Linked DNA regions of Mus musculus. The protein of the gene in region 2 purifies or fractionates together with the protein of the main gene of each other region. This does not show direct contact. Links are inferred from orthologs where the notes say so. Each region holds a gene or a part of one and is shown on either strand. Other genes may lie near its edges. The genes, in order: Eif3i, Eif4g1 and Eif3h.

The links.
Region 1: the proteins of Eif4g1 (region 2) and Eif3i purify together in Homo sapiens (affinity purification with mass spectrometry; 5 studies listed by BioGRID and IntAct, counting the BioPlex papers as one, with this or other methods). This does not show direct contact. The link is inferred for Mus musculus from reciprocal best matches to the Homo sapiens genes EIF4G1 and EIF3I.
Region 3: the proteins of Eif4g1 (region 2) and Eif3h purify together in Homo sapiens (affinity purification with mass spectrometry; 4 studies listed by BioGRID). This does not show direct contact. The link is inferred for Mus musculus from reciprocal best matches to the Homo sapiens genes EIF4G1 and EIF3H.

Annotation. Positions count from the first base shown.
Region 1 is NC_000070.6:129,597,826-129,602,179, reverse strand, and holds the start of Eif3i (eukaryotic translation initiation factor 3 subunit I), read left to right. Parts: upstream 1-1,531; 5' UTR 1,532-1,583; coding exon 1,584-1,586; intron 1,587-1,678; coding exon 1,679-1,771; intron 1,772-3,137; coding exon 3,138-3,225; intron 3,226-4,354. Other genes in the region: Tmem234 (transmembrane protein 234 isoform 1 precursor), read right to left, coding at 1,046-1,197, 1,449-1,464. UniProt on the Homo sapiens protein: Component of the eukaryotic translation initiation factor 3 (eIF-3) complex, which is required for several steps in the initiation of protein synthesis.
Region 2 is NC_000082.6:20,675,681-20,679,239, forward strand, and holds part of Eif4g1 (eukaryotic translation initiation factor 4 gamma 1), read left to right. Parts: intron 1-49; coding exon 50-149; intron 150-2,005; coding exon 2,006-2,118; intron 2,119-2,901; coding exon 2,902-2,994; intron 2,995-3,203; coding exon 3,204-3,270; intron 3,271-3,532; coding exon 3,533-3,559.
Region 3 is NC_000081.6:51,862,656-51,866,847, forward strand, and holds the start of Eif3h (eukaryotic translation initiation factor 3 subunit H), read right to left. Parts: upstream 2,807-4,192; 5' UTR 2,803-2,806; coding exon 2,671-2,802; intron 1-2,670.

The DNA.
Region 1 (4,354 bases), on a different chromosome or scaffold from region 2:
ACCTGTCAGGGGCTGCCTGCGTGTGCAACGGCTTTCCCAGTTCTCAACCTTCCTAATGCTGCGACCCTTTAATCCAGTTCCTCATGTTGTGGGGACCCCCCAACCATAAAATTATTTTCATTGCCACTTCACAACTGTAATTTTACTACAGTTATGGACTGTCACGTAAGTATCTGATATGCAGGATATCTGGTGTCAGACCCCTTGCCAGTTGTTACCCAGTTCGAGAGTCCCTGTTCTGGCTTGCACCTTCCCACGGGGGTTGGCATGGTTACAAATGCTCAGGGACCGCTCATGTGTTTGAAGACCCCTTAGAGCAAACAGAGAAACGCATTCAATGTACTCTATTGCCTTAAATGCCCTCTCCCTCGTCATGGCCAGTTCCCATCGTCCCTGCTGGTATAAGGCCTTGAGTGACAGTGTTACCCCTTCTAAGTAGCCCACTCCATGTCCTCCAGCTTCATCTCTCTGTACAGAATTCACACAGTACTATAAATATAGTACCTCTCTCCTTCCCCCTAACCCTCAGAGTAGGGCATATCTAGCTAGCTTACATAGGCAGCCATGGGCAGTTCTCGATAGCTTTCCTTATGTTCTACCCCAGGGCAAGTTGAGCCGAAAGAAAGCTCAACTTGGTGATGATGACCTTAAGAGTAGTCCTGGAGCCTGGCAGTGGTGGCGCCTTTAATCCCAGCACTCAGGAGTCAGATGCAGGCTGATCTCTGAATTCGAGGCTAGTGAGTTCAGGGTAGCCAGGGATACACAGAGAAACCCTGTCTCCAAAAACAAACAATAAGCAAAAATAGTCATTGATTGAACATGTACCCTGTACTAGGCCCAATGCTAAGTGTTTTATGTGTCTTACTTGAGTTCTTATATCAGCCCTATACAAGGGTTATCATTAAATTTTCCATTTTTTTGACGAAACAGACTCACAGAGGATAAATGACTCTTCCAGGAACTTCTAGTGAGTAAGAGATGGGCTGGGAATACGGCCGACCTATGGTGAAATTTTCAGGGGCTCGTCCGTGAGAGCTAGACGCACCTCAGTATTCCCGAAGAGAGCCTTTATCTCCTGCAACAGCTGCCAGGCCCACGTCCGCTCACGCACTTGCTCCAGGCCGGAGGAGGCTCGCTTCAGCAGCGGCTGCGTGCCACCCCACAGTGCGGCCACCAGCACCAGAGCAAGCACCTGCCCTGAAAGCAAAGGGTCAGAAAGTCACCCGGGTCCTCCTCCGGCCTCCTGCACCCTGCTGCCCGGCTCCATCTCCCTCCCTCCCTCTTCCCGCCGGGCTGTGATCGGTCGGGAGGACCCGCCCAGAGGGCGGCCGAAGTGAGACCAGGGTGCGTGGCTCAGCATTCCTGAGGCTCGGGGATGCCAGGAGACTGAGAACAGAGCTCCCGAGCCAGAGTCGGAGCCCGCGGAGGTGGGGGGCCCGGCTACCCACCCCAGGACGCCGCCATGAAAACGCCAGGCCCTTCTACTTCCGGGAGCGAGAGGGCGGAGCCCCCGCATCCGGAAGTCGTCCCTAGTCTTTTTCCGGTCCCACTCACATTGCCTCTCTCCTCGCGTCACCGCCAGGATGGTGAGTTCCAGGCGCGGCGTGCTGCCGTCGGGGGGCCTCAGTAGGCATGGGACGGGGTTCCCGGCACTGACACCCCGGTTCTGTCCCCACAGAAACCCATCCTGCTGCAGGGCCATGAGCGGTCCATCACGCAGATCAAGTATAACCGCGAAGGAGACCTTCTCTTCACCGTGGCCAAAGACCCTGTGAGCGACTGCGTGAGGGCGGGCGGCCGGGGGTCCGGGGCGGGGGGCCCGGAGGGGGCGAGTTCGCGCCGCCCGGACTGCGGGTGGACAAGGTTTACTGCCTGCGGGAGGGAAATTTTTCTGATAAGTAGGGAAAACCAACCCCATACCGCGGTAGGTTGGCGACAGCATTCCGCCAGGGAAATCTGGAAGGGAAGGGTACCTAGCCAGGGAGAAGAGAATCAGGAGACTGGAAGGGAGCCCAGGGACAGGACAGGACAGAATCAAGTGGTCTGTTCAATCCCACTTTGTTTCCTTTGGGGATTGTCTTTTGAGGCATTTGCATTGGAGGCAATAAACTGATAGTTAACAGTGGAGAGTTAAGTCGGAGCTTGAGATCTGAGCCCTAACTCCTGCTCCTACTAAGCAGTGTGACTTTGAACATGACATTTACCTTTTCTATAAACCACAGTTTTCCCTTTTAATAAAACATGGAGACTTTAATTAGCTCCCTCAGCAGAGTGAGGTCATTTCTGTAAATCGTTTTGCACTGTACCCGATGCATGTAAGTCACTTATTTTAAGTTTCATAGACATGGTTTCATTGGAGCTTCACAGCTGCCCTTTGAAGAAAGCTGTTGACAAGAGTGGGGTATCTGTCCATGGTGGCCAGCACACCTCTCCATCCTCCTGCCTCAGCCTCCTGGTCTTGGGAATACAAGTGTGTGCTACCACACACAGCCCCTCCCAGTCATTTTTTTTTTTTAATGTATGTGTGTGTAATGATTTTGTTTATTTTATGTGTATGGGTGCTTTGCTGCATTGTATGTCTACATAGCATGTGAGTGCCTGGTGCCTGTGAAGGCCAGAAGAGGATATCAAATCTCCTGGAACTGCAGATACAGATTGTTGTAAGCCATCATGTGGGTGTTGGGAATCAAACCCAAGTCATCTGGAGGAGCAGCCAGTGCTCTTTAAGCTCTGAGCCTTCTCTTCAGCTCTCCTAGCCATTTAAAGGAAGGGAGCTCTGTATTTAAGATCACACAGTGAGCTAGTGACAAAGCAGTGGAGCCCATACATCCTTACTGTCATCCGGAGTCAATTGAACAGGACCCGAAAGGTTTTTTTTCACACTGCAACTCAGGTTGGCCTTTACCTCTTCTGACTCCAGACAAAAGCACATGAGGATGCTATTGGAGGCCTGGCTCTTCTACAGCTTATGTTAGGAAAGGAGGAGAACCCAGGAGCTGGGCGGTCCTATCAGCTCTTCACTGGTAAATGAGCAGAAGGCAAACCTGGCTTGGCTAGAGCCTGCAGAGGGTTTGTAGTGCAAGCTAAGCTATTGATTATTTTGGGATGTGACCATCCTATCATTTTACTCTTTCCAGATCGTCAACGTGTGGTACTCTGTCAATGGGGAGAGGCTAGGCACCTACATGGGCCACACTGGAGCTGTGTGGTGCGTGGATGCTGACTGTATCCTTTTGGCCATGGGTTAGCCAGCCTTGGAGATACTGGCTTTGGCATGTTGTGGCGGTCTAGAGAATAACACTCCCTACTCCCAGCTACTTCATCCTGTGGGAAACTAGGACAGGTTCAAGTTTGGGAATTCAGAGGTCAGGGCACTCTGAGGTAAAAGTGAGAAAGTCTCTTTGGGACTGACCTGGGAGATGCTCTGATGGCTTCCAAGAAGATATGGACTAGGTGGACTATGTATTCTTATTTGTATATATGTGCGTGGTGAATCTGTGTGCACAGGAGTAGGGACAAATGGAGGCATCAGGTCTTAAGTTGTTCTTCAACCTTTTTTTTTTTTTTTAATCTTTTTTATCATTTTTCTTTTCCCTAAAGATTAGGGGTTTTGGTTTTGGTGTTTTTTGGTTTTTGGGTTTTTTTTTTTTTTTTTTTTTTGTTTGTTTTTCAAGACAGGGTTTCTCTTTATAGCCCTGGCTGTCCTGGACTGTCACTCTGTAGACCAGGCTGGTCTCTGCCTCCTGAGTGCTGGGATTAGAGGCATGCGCCACTACTGCCCAGCTTAAAGATTGGTTTTATTTGTATGGGTGTTTTGCTGCATATGTGTCTGTGTACCTTGTGTGTACTTTGCTAGCCATTTTCCTTTAAATGACAGAAGGCCGCAGATCCCTTAGGACAGGAGTTATAAATGGTTGCGAGCTACTATGTGGGTGCTAGGAACCTAACTGGGTCTTCTGGAAGAGCAGCCATTGCTCTAACGACTGAGCCATCTCTCCAGCTTTGTTTGTTTGTTTGTTTGTTTGTTTAGGGGTTTTTGGTTTGGTTTTTGGTTTTCTTTTTTTTTCTTTTTAAATTTTTTTAAGGTTTATTTATTTTATATGTGTGAGTACACAGTAACTATCTTCAGACACACCAGAAGAGGACATCAGATCCCATTACAGATGGTTGTGAGCCACCATGTGGTTGCTAGGATTTGAACTCAGGACCTCTGGAAGAACAGTCAGTGCTCTTAACTACTGAGCCATCTCTCCAGCCCCTGTTTTTTGGTTTTCAAGACATTGTCTCACTATGGTAGCGTTGGCTGTCTTGGAACTCTCTGCAGACCAGGTAGGCCTTAAGAGATCCACCTGGC
Region 2 (3,559 bases):
TTTTTCTCATCTCTTTCTTTTCCCTCTTTTCTTCCCCAACCCCCTTCAGGGGCGTTCCACATATGTTGTCCCAACACAGCAGTACCCTGTGCAGCCAGGAGCCCCAGGCTTCTATCCAGGTGCAAGCCCTACCGAGTTTGGGACCTATGGTAAGCCGGGCAGGGAGTAGGTGGGGAGAGTGTATCCTAGGGAACAGCTTAGGTGGTCAGTATTTCTAAATGCTAAGCTATTCTTCTGTATGCTTTTGGTTTTTTAAAATGATAGGATTAATAGATGATGGGGATTAGTGCCTAATATTTAACATATGTTGGTAAAGGAAGTTTTGATCCTTTGCCAAGAGAGTTGGAATCTTTCCTACTTCAAGAAGTAAAAGTGTACACTCCTTTAATCCCATCCAGCACAAAGGAGGCTGAGACAGGCGGATCTCTTAAGTTTGAAGCCAATCAGGTCTATGTAGTGAGTTTAGGACAGCCAGCGGTACATAGTAACACCCTGTCTCAAAACAAAGAAACAGGGTTAGGAACTTCAGTCTGGCTCTGTGGGTCAAAGTACCTGCCCCCAAACCTGATGACCTGAGTTTGATCACTGGGACCCAGGTGGTAGGAAGACAGCTGACTCCCACTAGTTATTTTCATATTTCCACTCAGCCCATGCACACGTAAATGAATGAATAAGCTGATCATTTAAAAAAGAAAGGGCTGGAGGTATAGCCCAGTGAATTGCTCTTGCAGAGAGGCCAAGTTCCGTACCAGCACCCGTGTTAGGCAGGTCACAGCTGTCTGCAACTTTCAACTCTTGGTGGATCCAACCCTTCTGGACCTTCTGGATACCTCACAGAGACATACCTCCACATAGACACATAATAAAAATATACTGAAAGACATACAGGCTCTGACCTGAAAGCCAAGTTAGTGAACTTTACATGGGCTTTCTTTTCATAGTTGGGAGACAGTAATGTGGATTTGAGTGGTTTTTGTAGCTAGTTCTCATTTATGTTCAAAGAAAAAACTCTGTGAACTTTATTGGCTTTATTTATTTTGTGGTTTTTTTTTTTTTTTCCCTCGAGACAGGGTTTGACTGGTCTCAAACTCAGAAATCCACCTGCCTCTGCCTCCCGAGTGCTGGGATTAAAGGCATGCACCACCACGCCCGGCTTTTATTGGCTTTATTTGAGACAGTCTTAGGTAGTTCTAACTTGGCCTGAAATTTGTCATGTAAACCAGGCTAGTCTTAAACTTGCAGTGTTCCCCCTGCCTCTAATTGCTGGAATTACAAGCATATGTTAGCATGCTAAGCTTGCAGCAGTATCTTTAAAAAAAATTTCCCATCAGGAAGATCTTATGTATATGTATATGTATAGTTGTGTGTGTGTGATTAAACATATAACCACCATTGATACTTTCAAAAGGAATAAGTGGGAACTAGGGATGAGCTACAAATTTACCCCGCTTTGGAAACAATTGCTTTAGGGAATTTTTATTTCTCTAAGCTGGATGTTACTTTTTGTTATGGTTGCCCCTTGCAAAGGGCCGAGTTAGGAATTTGAGTCAGCTTAAGTGGGACAATTTGGAAAACCCTGTTCATTCCCTGCCAAAGAGCTAATTGTGTCTCAAGTTGAGGGTGTGCATGTGTGTTGCTGGGTTGGGATGTGTGTGTGTGTGCGTGCGTGTGTGCGCGCGCGCACACACACACACACACACACACACACACACACGTGTATGAATGAATGTCTTGTGGGGTAGAACAGGTACTTGGTAGCTAGTGTAGAGAGGAAGGAGTTCCTTCCTATAAGGTGTGTGTATCTGTGAGGAATTCTTGTAAATGCAGTTCAAACTGGTTCCCCTGCTTTGACAGACACCTAATTCCCTGGGGAGGCGGGCAGGGCAGGGCAAGGGGCCGGCTGTGTATGATGAGAGGTTCTGCAGTGGGAGGTGTTCAAACGCATATTAGTATATGTTTGGATCTTGAGGCTGTCACGAATCTTTTCTGTCCTTCTTCCCCCAAGCTGGAGCCTATTACCCAGCCCAAGGTGTGCAGCAGTTTCCTGCTAGTGTGGCTCCTGCCCCAGTTTTGATGAACCAGCCACCCCAGATTGCTCCTAAGAGGGAACGGAAAACTGTAAGTAGCAGCTAGGAGCTCTGGGATACCTGGAAAGGGACACTCATGGTCTGCTGTTGGCTGGAATGTTGCGCTTGTGGGAGCAAAACTTCATAGACCTGAATGTAAGCAGAGAGTAAGGTCTGTGGAGAAGTCCCTTGTAAGGGGATTGTTCTGTAGAAGAACTCAGAAGACGACTTGGGCAGCAGGGAAAGACCCAAGAGACTTGGGCTCTAGTAGGTTCACAAGATGTGTGGTTGTTTTGGGGATGCTGGTGGTTAGCTTTGGAAATGGTTTGTTTTCTGTGCTCCTAACTCCTTGGTCCTGGAAGCTCTGGAGGCCTCCGCCTCTGCTCAGTCCTCAAGCCCTGGGCACGGTGCCCAGAATAGGGTGCCAGGGCTGGGGAAGCCGCTGAGTCACCCTGGCTCCACCCACTGCATCTGGGCCCTACCCCTAGAGATCAGACCGACTAGCCACAAGTGAGCTAGCCGGATGTTTGATGGGGGTCTTTAGGCCTAGGGTGTTTGGCTATTGACTTAGGGATTGCTGGTGGGTAGAGGGGAGGGAGGGAGGGGCATTGTGATGTACTGGGCTGCTCTGTGAGGTCAAGAGTCTTGGGGTGGGGGCTAGGGCAGCGACTACAAGAGCAGCCGGATGGGTTGACAGTAGAACTCATGGGGTTTCTGGCACCCACCCACCTGCTTCCCAGTAGGGGTGGGAGGTTGGCCCAGAGTGTTAGGAGGGGCAGGGTGGAGAGGTGGGCTTCTTCTGCTTCCCACTCATCCTATAGCTTTTTTTCCCCAGATCCGAATTCGAGACCCAAACCAAGGAGGGAAGGATATCACAGAAGAGATCATGTCTGGGGCCCGCACTGCCTCCACACCCACTCCTCCCCAGGTACTGTCATATCTTTGAGTGATACCTTGGTTTGGACAGCTATTCTGCCCTAGATTCCGAAGTCACTTGATCTTTCCCTTCACCTTAGGGGTTTGTTTCCCATTTCCCTGCTTTCCTGGATTTCTAGGCAGAGCTAAAGTAGAAATGACTCTAGTAGAGAAGGGTGTGGAACTCTTCAGTGCAAACTTATAACGCTTTGTGTCCTGCAGACGGGAGGCAGTCTGGAGCCTCAACCCAATGGGGAGTCGCCTCAGGTTGCTGTCATTATCCGGCCAGGTAAGGAAGGCAGTGGCACAACCTTTACGGGGGAAGTGGGGAGTGTGAGGATTTACACTTGAAGGAGTGATTCAAACTGAGTACCAGAGAATGACTTAGGTGTCCTGTAGTGGGTTTGAAGTTGCACTGTTTGGATGAGGGGTGAGAACAGCCAAGGTGGGAGAAGGTTGGGATGTGTTTTGTTAAATTGGAAGTAAGCTTCACTAAGAGGAAGAACAAGAACAGTGAAGGACTTGCTGTCATGCATCCATTCTTCCTGCAGATGACCGGTCGCAGGGAGCAGCCATTG
Region 3 (4,192 bases), on a different chromosome or scaffold from region 2:
TAGCTCTATTAAGCCACATGTGGCAATAATATACATGACAAGGAGAAAAAGTGGAATGCCATAGACAAAAAAAAAAAAAAAAAAAAAAGACAAACCTAGTCAGGGAATGGCTAACTGGCCAAAGGTGAACATTCTGGACAAAGTGAAGAAAGAACTGGGAAGAGGAAAAAAAAAAAAAAAAAACTCAACACAAACCAAGAACATGTAAGCAAAAACTACACCTTGATGGATCTTGAATTCACTGAAAGCATCTAATAAAAGGATTTAGGACTCGAGGTTTTAAATTAAATGAATGAGAAAAAAAAAATTAAGATATCTTTAAAGGAAATACCAAGATTTGAACTAAGGGTCAGCATGATGGCTCACTAAGTAAAGGCACTTAACCATCTGAGTGTCCCTTTTTATAACTCATCAGGGTCACTCATAAGCTTCTGAGTCACAATATGATTTGTCAGGACCCCTGATAATCAAGAGGCCCTTTTGAGTGAAGACATGAGTATTTTTGTCACTGAAAAGTGTATCTTCATAGTAAACTATCAACACCCAAACTTCTAACACAATCTCTTAGGAAGAGCAATAATCAGTCCCCAGATAAAAGAAAACAGTGAGCCATGAATCCAGAACTAAGAATAAGTGTCTTGACTTTCCTAGGCCCACTGCCTGCCGGTTGAACTCAAATGGCCCTGTCTGTTCCCACCTGCTGCAATCTTAAGGCACCCTGACACTGTTCCTGTTGAGACAGCTCGGCAGTTACAAGACTGCCCTAAAAGTATGTTCTACTGTGTCGTGTTTGACAGTCAGTCCCACTACGTAGCCCAGGCTGCTGGACAACTCCCCAGAATCCTGCTGTACCTTCCCAAGTGTTGGGATTACAGGTGTGGACCACCATGTCCAAACCCAGTCCTAAAATAAATACATACTTGTAATTACATCTACCAGGCAGATTTATAACACCTACCTGTTGACTTTTACAACTCTAGAAGCCAAGTAATTCAAAGAGTGGTTTCAAATTATACAAAAATGCAGTTAAGACATAAGTTATGACTTAAAATACTTTCCAAGTGTTGAAATGATACTTTACAAGTCCACCCACCAACTAATTTGCGATCTTTAAACATGTATTATTTATTCCTAAAAGGCACCTGCCTCAAAAAGCCATTGAAAGCTGAAACTGTCAGCTAAGTAAACAACCTAACATTTCTTTTTCACAGTACTATGCAAGTGATACTTAACTGGAGGCATAAAGCTTTCTAAACTTAAGCTCTTCCCTGCATCTTTCAAACTCTGACATCCACAGGTATTACAGTCAGTAACAAGCACAGCTTACAGTCTCCCATGCTCACCACATACAGGTTTTCACATAATCCAAACGATACACCAATGCCTAACTACTTCTCAATCCCATCTGAACACATGAGGTAACTAAAGCTGGTTAAGGCCAACTTCTTAGGGCCACAGAGACTAAGTCTATAAACATCAGGTTATATTAAACAACAAACACAAAAAAGCCTCATGACAATCTAACTAAACTATAGTCCAAAGTGAAATTACTAATAATTTCCACTTAAACACTGCCTGCTGCAATCACAATTTTCACATAAATTAAAAAATCCCTATTACAAGAGTCTTTAGCCGGGCATGGTGGCGCACGCCTTTAATCCTAGCACTTGGGAGGCAGAGGCAGGCAGATTTCTGAGTTCGAGGCCAGCCTGGTCTACGAAGTGAGTTCCAGGACAGCCAGGGCTACACAGAGAAACCCTGTCTCGAAAAAAAAAAAAAAAAAAAAAAAAAGTCTTTAGAAAATACCTAATGGATAATACCTAAAAACTGGTTTGAGAGAAAAGGGTGCTTTGGGGAAAAAAGAAAAAAGAAGAAAAGAAGGAGGAGGAGAAAGAAGGGAGAAGAAGAAGACGACGACGATGACCTTTTTCTTTTCTCTGTGGTTTTCTTTTTGAGACAAGATCTCGGTGCCAAATGACCTCAAACTCGTGGAGCTCTGCCTGCCTGGGCCTCACCTGTGCTCAGGGTAAAGACATGTGCCACCACAACCTTCAGGAGGAAGGTTCCTAAAGCTTAGAACCCCACCTCATTTCTAGATTCGCATATTTTCTCTTCCATCCACTACCTTCCCCCGAGCTTCCCCAGATACTCTAAGTCATGGATCTTATGCAGAAATAAACTTACGGCTGTGTCCTATGGCTTCTTGGGTTCACGCTGAACTCTGCCTAAGAGTTTTACCCCAGTTCTGCAAGCCCAGGTAAAGTTAACACACGCTAACACAGTAAATCTATTGAGAATGCACTTGGCAAACGCCCCTCCGGGAAGCCAAGGTGTTTCCTTTCCCCTCACTCCTCTCCCTAGAGCCCCAAACAGAACCCTAAATCCTTCCCATCACAACTGTCATTCGGTTGTAACCCCTCCTCTCCTGAGCCTCTAAAAGCCAGACCACGCCAAGCTGTCCCATACCCCCATTCCGGCCCCGTTTCTCAGCACTCAGGTCTCTCGTCGGAAAACAGGGAAGGCTGCGGTGTCTTTCGAGCAAAAGTGAAGATGAAGGAGAAGGGCGCCGAGGGGAGAGCGCGGTCAGCCCGCGCCTGGGGAAGGCGGCAGGAAGCGCGCCCGGCAGGGATCAGCCTCACACGTGGGCCTGTGGCCGCAACCCGCACTCACCAGGCCGTCGATCTGCACCTGCTTCACGGCCGAATCTCCGGAGCCGCCTTTGCCTTTGCCCTTCCCCACCGCGCCGCCAGCAGAACCGGAGGAGGTGGCGGTAGAGCCGGTGCCTTCCTTGCGCGACGCCATGTTTCCAGCCAGACAGGAAGAAAGAGAAGCGTGAGGCGCCGGAAGCGGAACTACGAGGCTCCGTGACGCTATGTTAAGGCTTTGGGGGTGGGGGGGGCGGTGTCTGGAAGCAGGCTGGGCAGGGCCCCGCCTCCTCGGTGGTGTTTCTCCCTCCCCCAACCCTCCCTGAGATTGTGGGAATCCTCTGCGCACGCGCGGAGTTTGGCCCGTACTGCTCAACCCACAGTAATTGATTAGGGTCACTCTGACTACAGAGAAAGAGCTTAGAAGCAAGAGCCATTATTCTACACCCACTCAGAATATACAGAAAATGTCTAAAACATGGTTAACTTTGATCAGTCTCTAAAATGAAAGATTTACCTGGGTAAAATACTCAGAAGTTCTTTTCTGTAGTGTTGTAGTGTGGAAGTTGATGTCATGGTAAGTATTCAGAATGCAGACTCTACGAATAATGCTGACCTATGACATGAGCTCTGAAATACATATTATCGTGACTGGAAAACACTACATCTGTTGTAGGAAGCCATTGTAATAATTCTCTGCTTTAGAGTGACTTTTTCCCTACTCCTTATTCAAAAGTAATGAAATGGTCACACTGTGGCAGAAAATATTGTATGCTAACCTTTAATTTTTGTTGTTGCTATTATTTGGGGTTTGTTATGCATCAATCTGACAGCAAGGATTAAAATGTTACTAATGATTCAATGATTCAATGTCCACTTCTACAAGTCTAGAAGGAATATTAGCATCCTGGCTCACAGAGAAAATCTCCACAAAGTATCAAAGGTGCATCATAGAAGAGTTACACTAGAAAGCAGTAGCAGGGTGTTAAAAAGCAGAAATAAAACTCTCAAAAGAATTAAGTGGGAGTTAAAACTGTGTGGTATTTATAAAGAAAAAATATCCACTAGCTAATCCTACAACATACATAGTTTGACAGGACACTGCCTCTGGAAAGCAGGGACACAAATGTGACAATGGCAGCTTGTAAAGGTGAAGGGGAAAACCCATATTAGGATGAAGTGCTTAATTTTAATTGGGTATGTTAATTAGGTGAGCCAAGGGAGGTGCTGAGTGCTGGACTTCCTTTGATAGCTGGACTTTGGTAGTCATCCACAGGAGGAGGAAGTGGCCAAATAAGGGAATGGACCTTGTTGGCTAGCTTTAGGAATGCAATCTGTTGGTTTGGTTTGATGGAGGGAATGGGGGGAGAAGGGCAAGGCCTAACAGATCGATGCCTGCAGTGCTTGGGCTGGCTAGAGTCCCTTCAGAGAAGTCCCTACTAGCTACCTTTCCATCACCAGATCTGTATTAGACGAGCCAGCCGAAGTAAAGACCCAGAGTTCAGCACCAAAGTACTCAAATATAAATGTTTAAATTATTTTAAGCC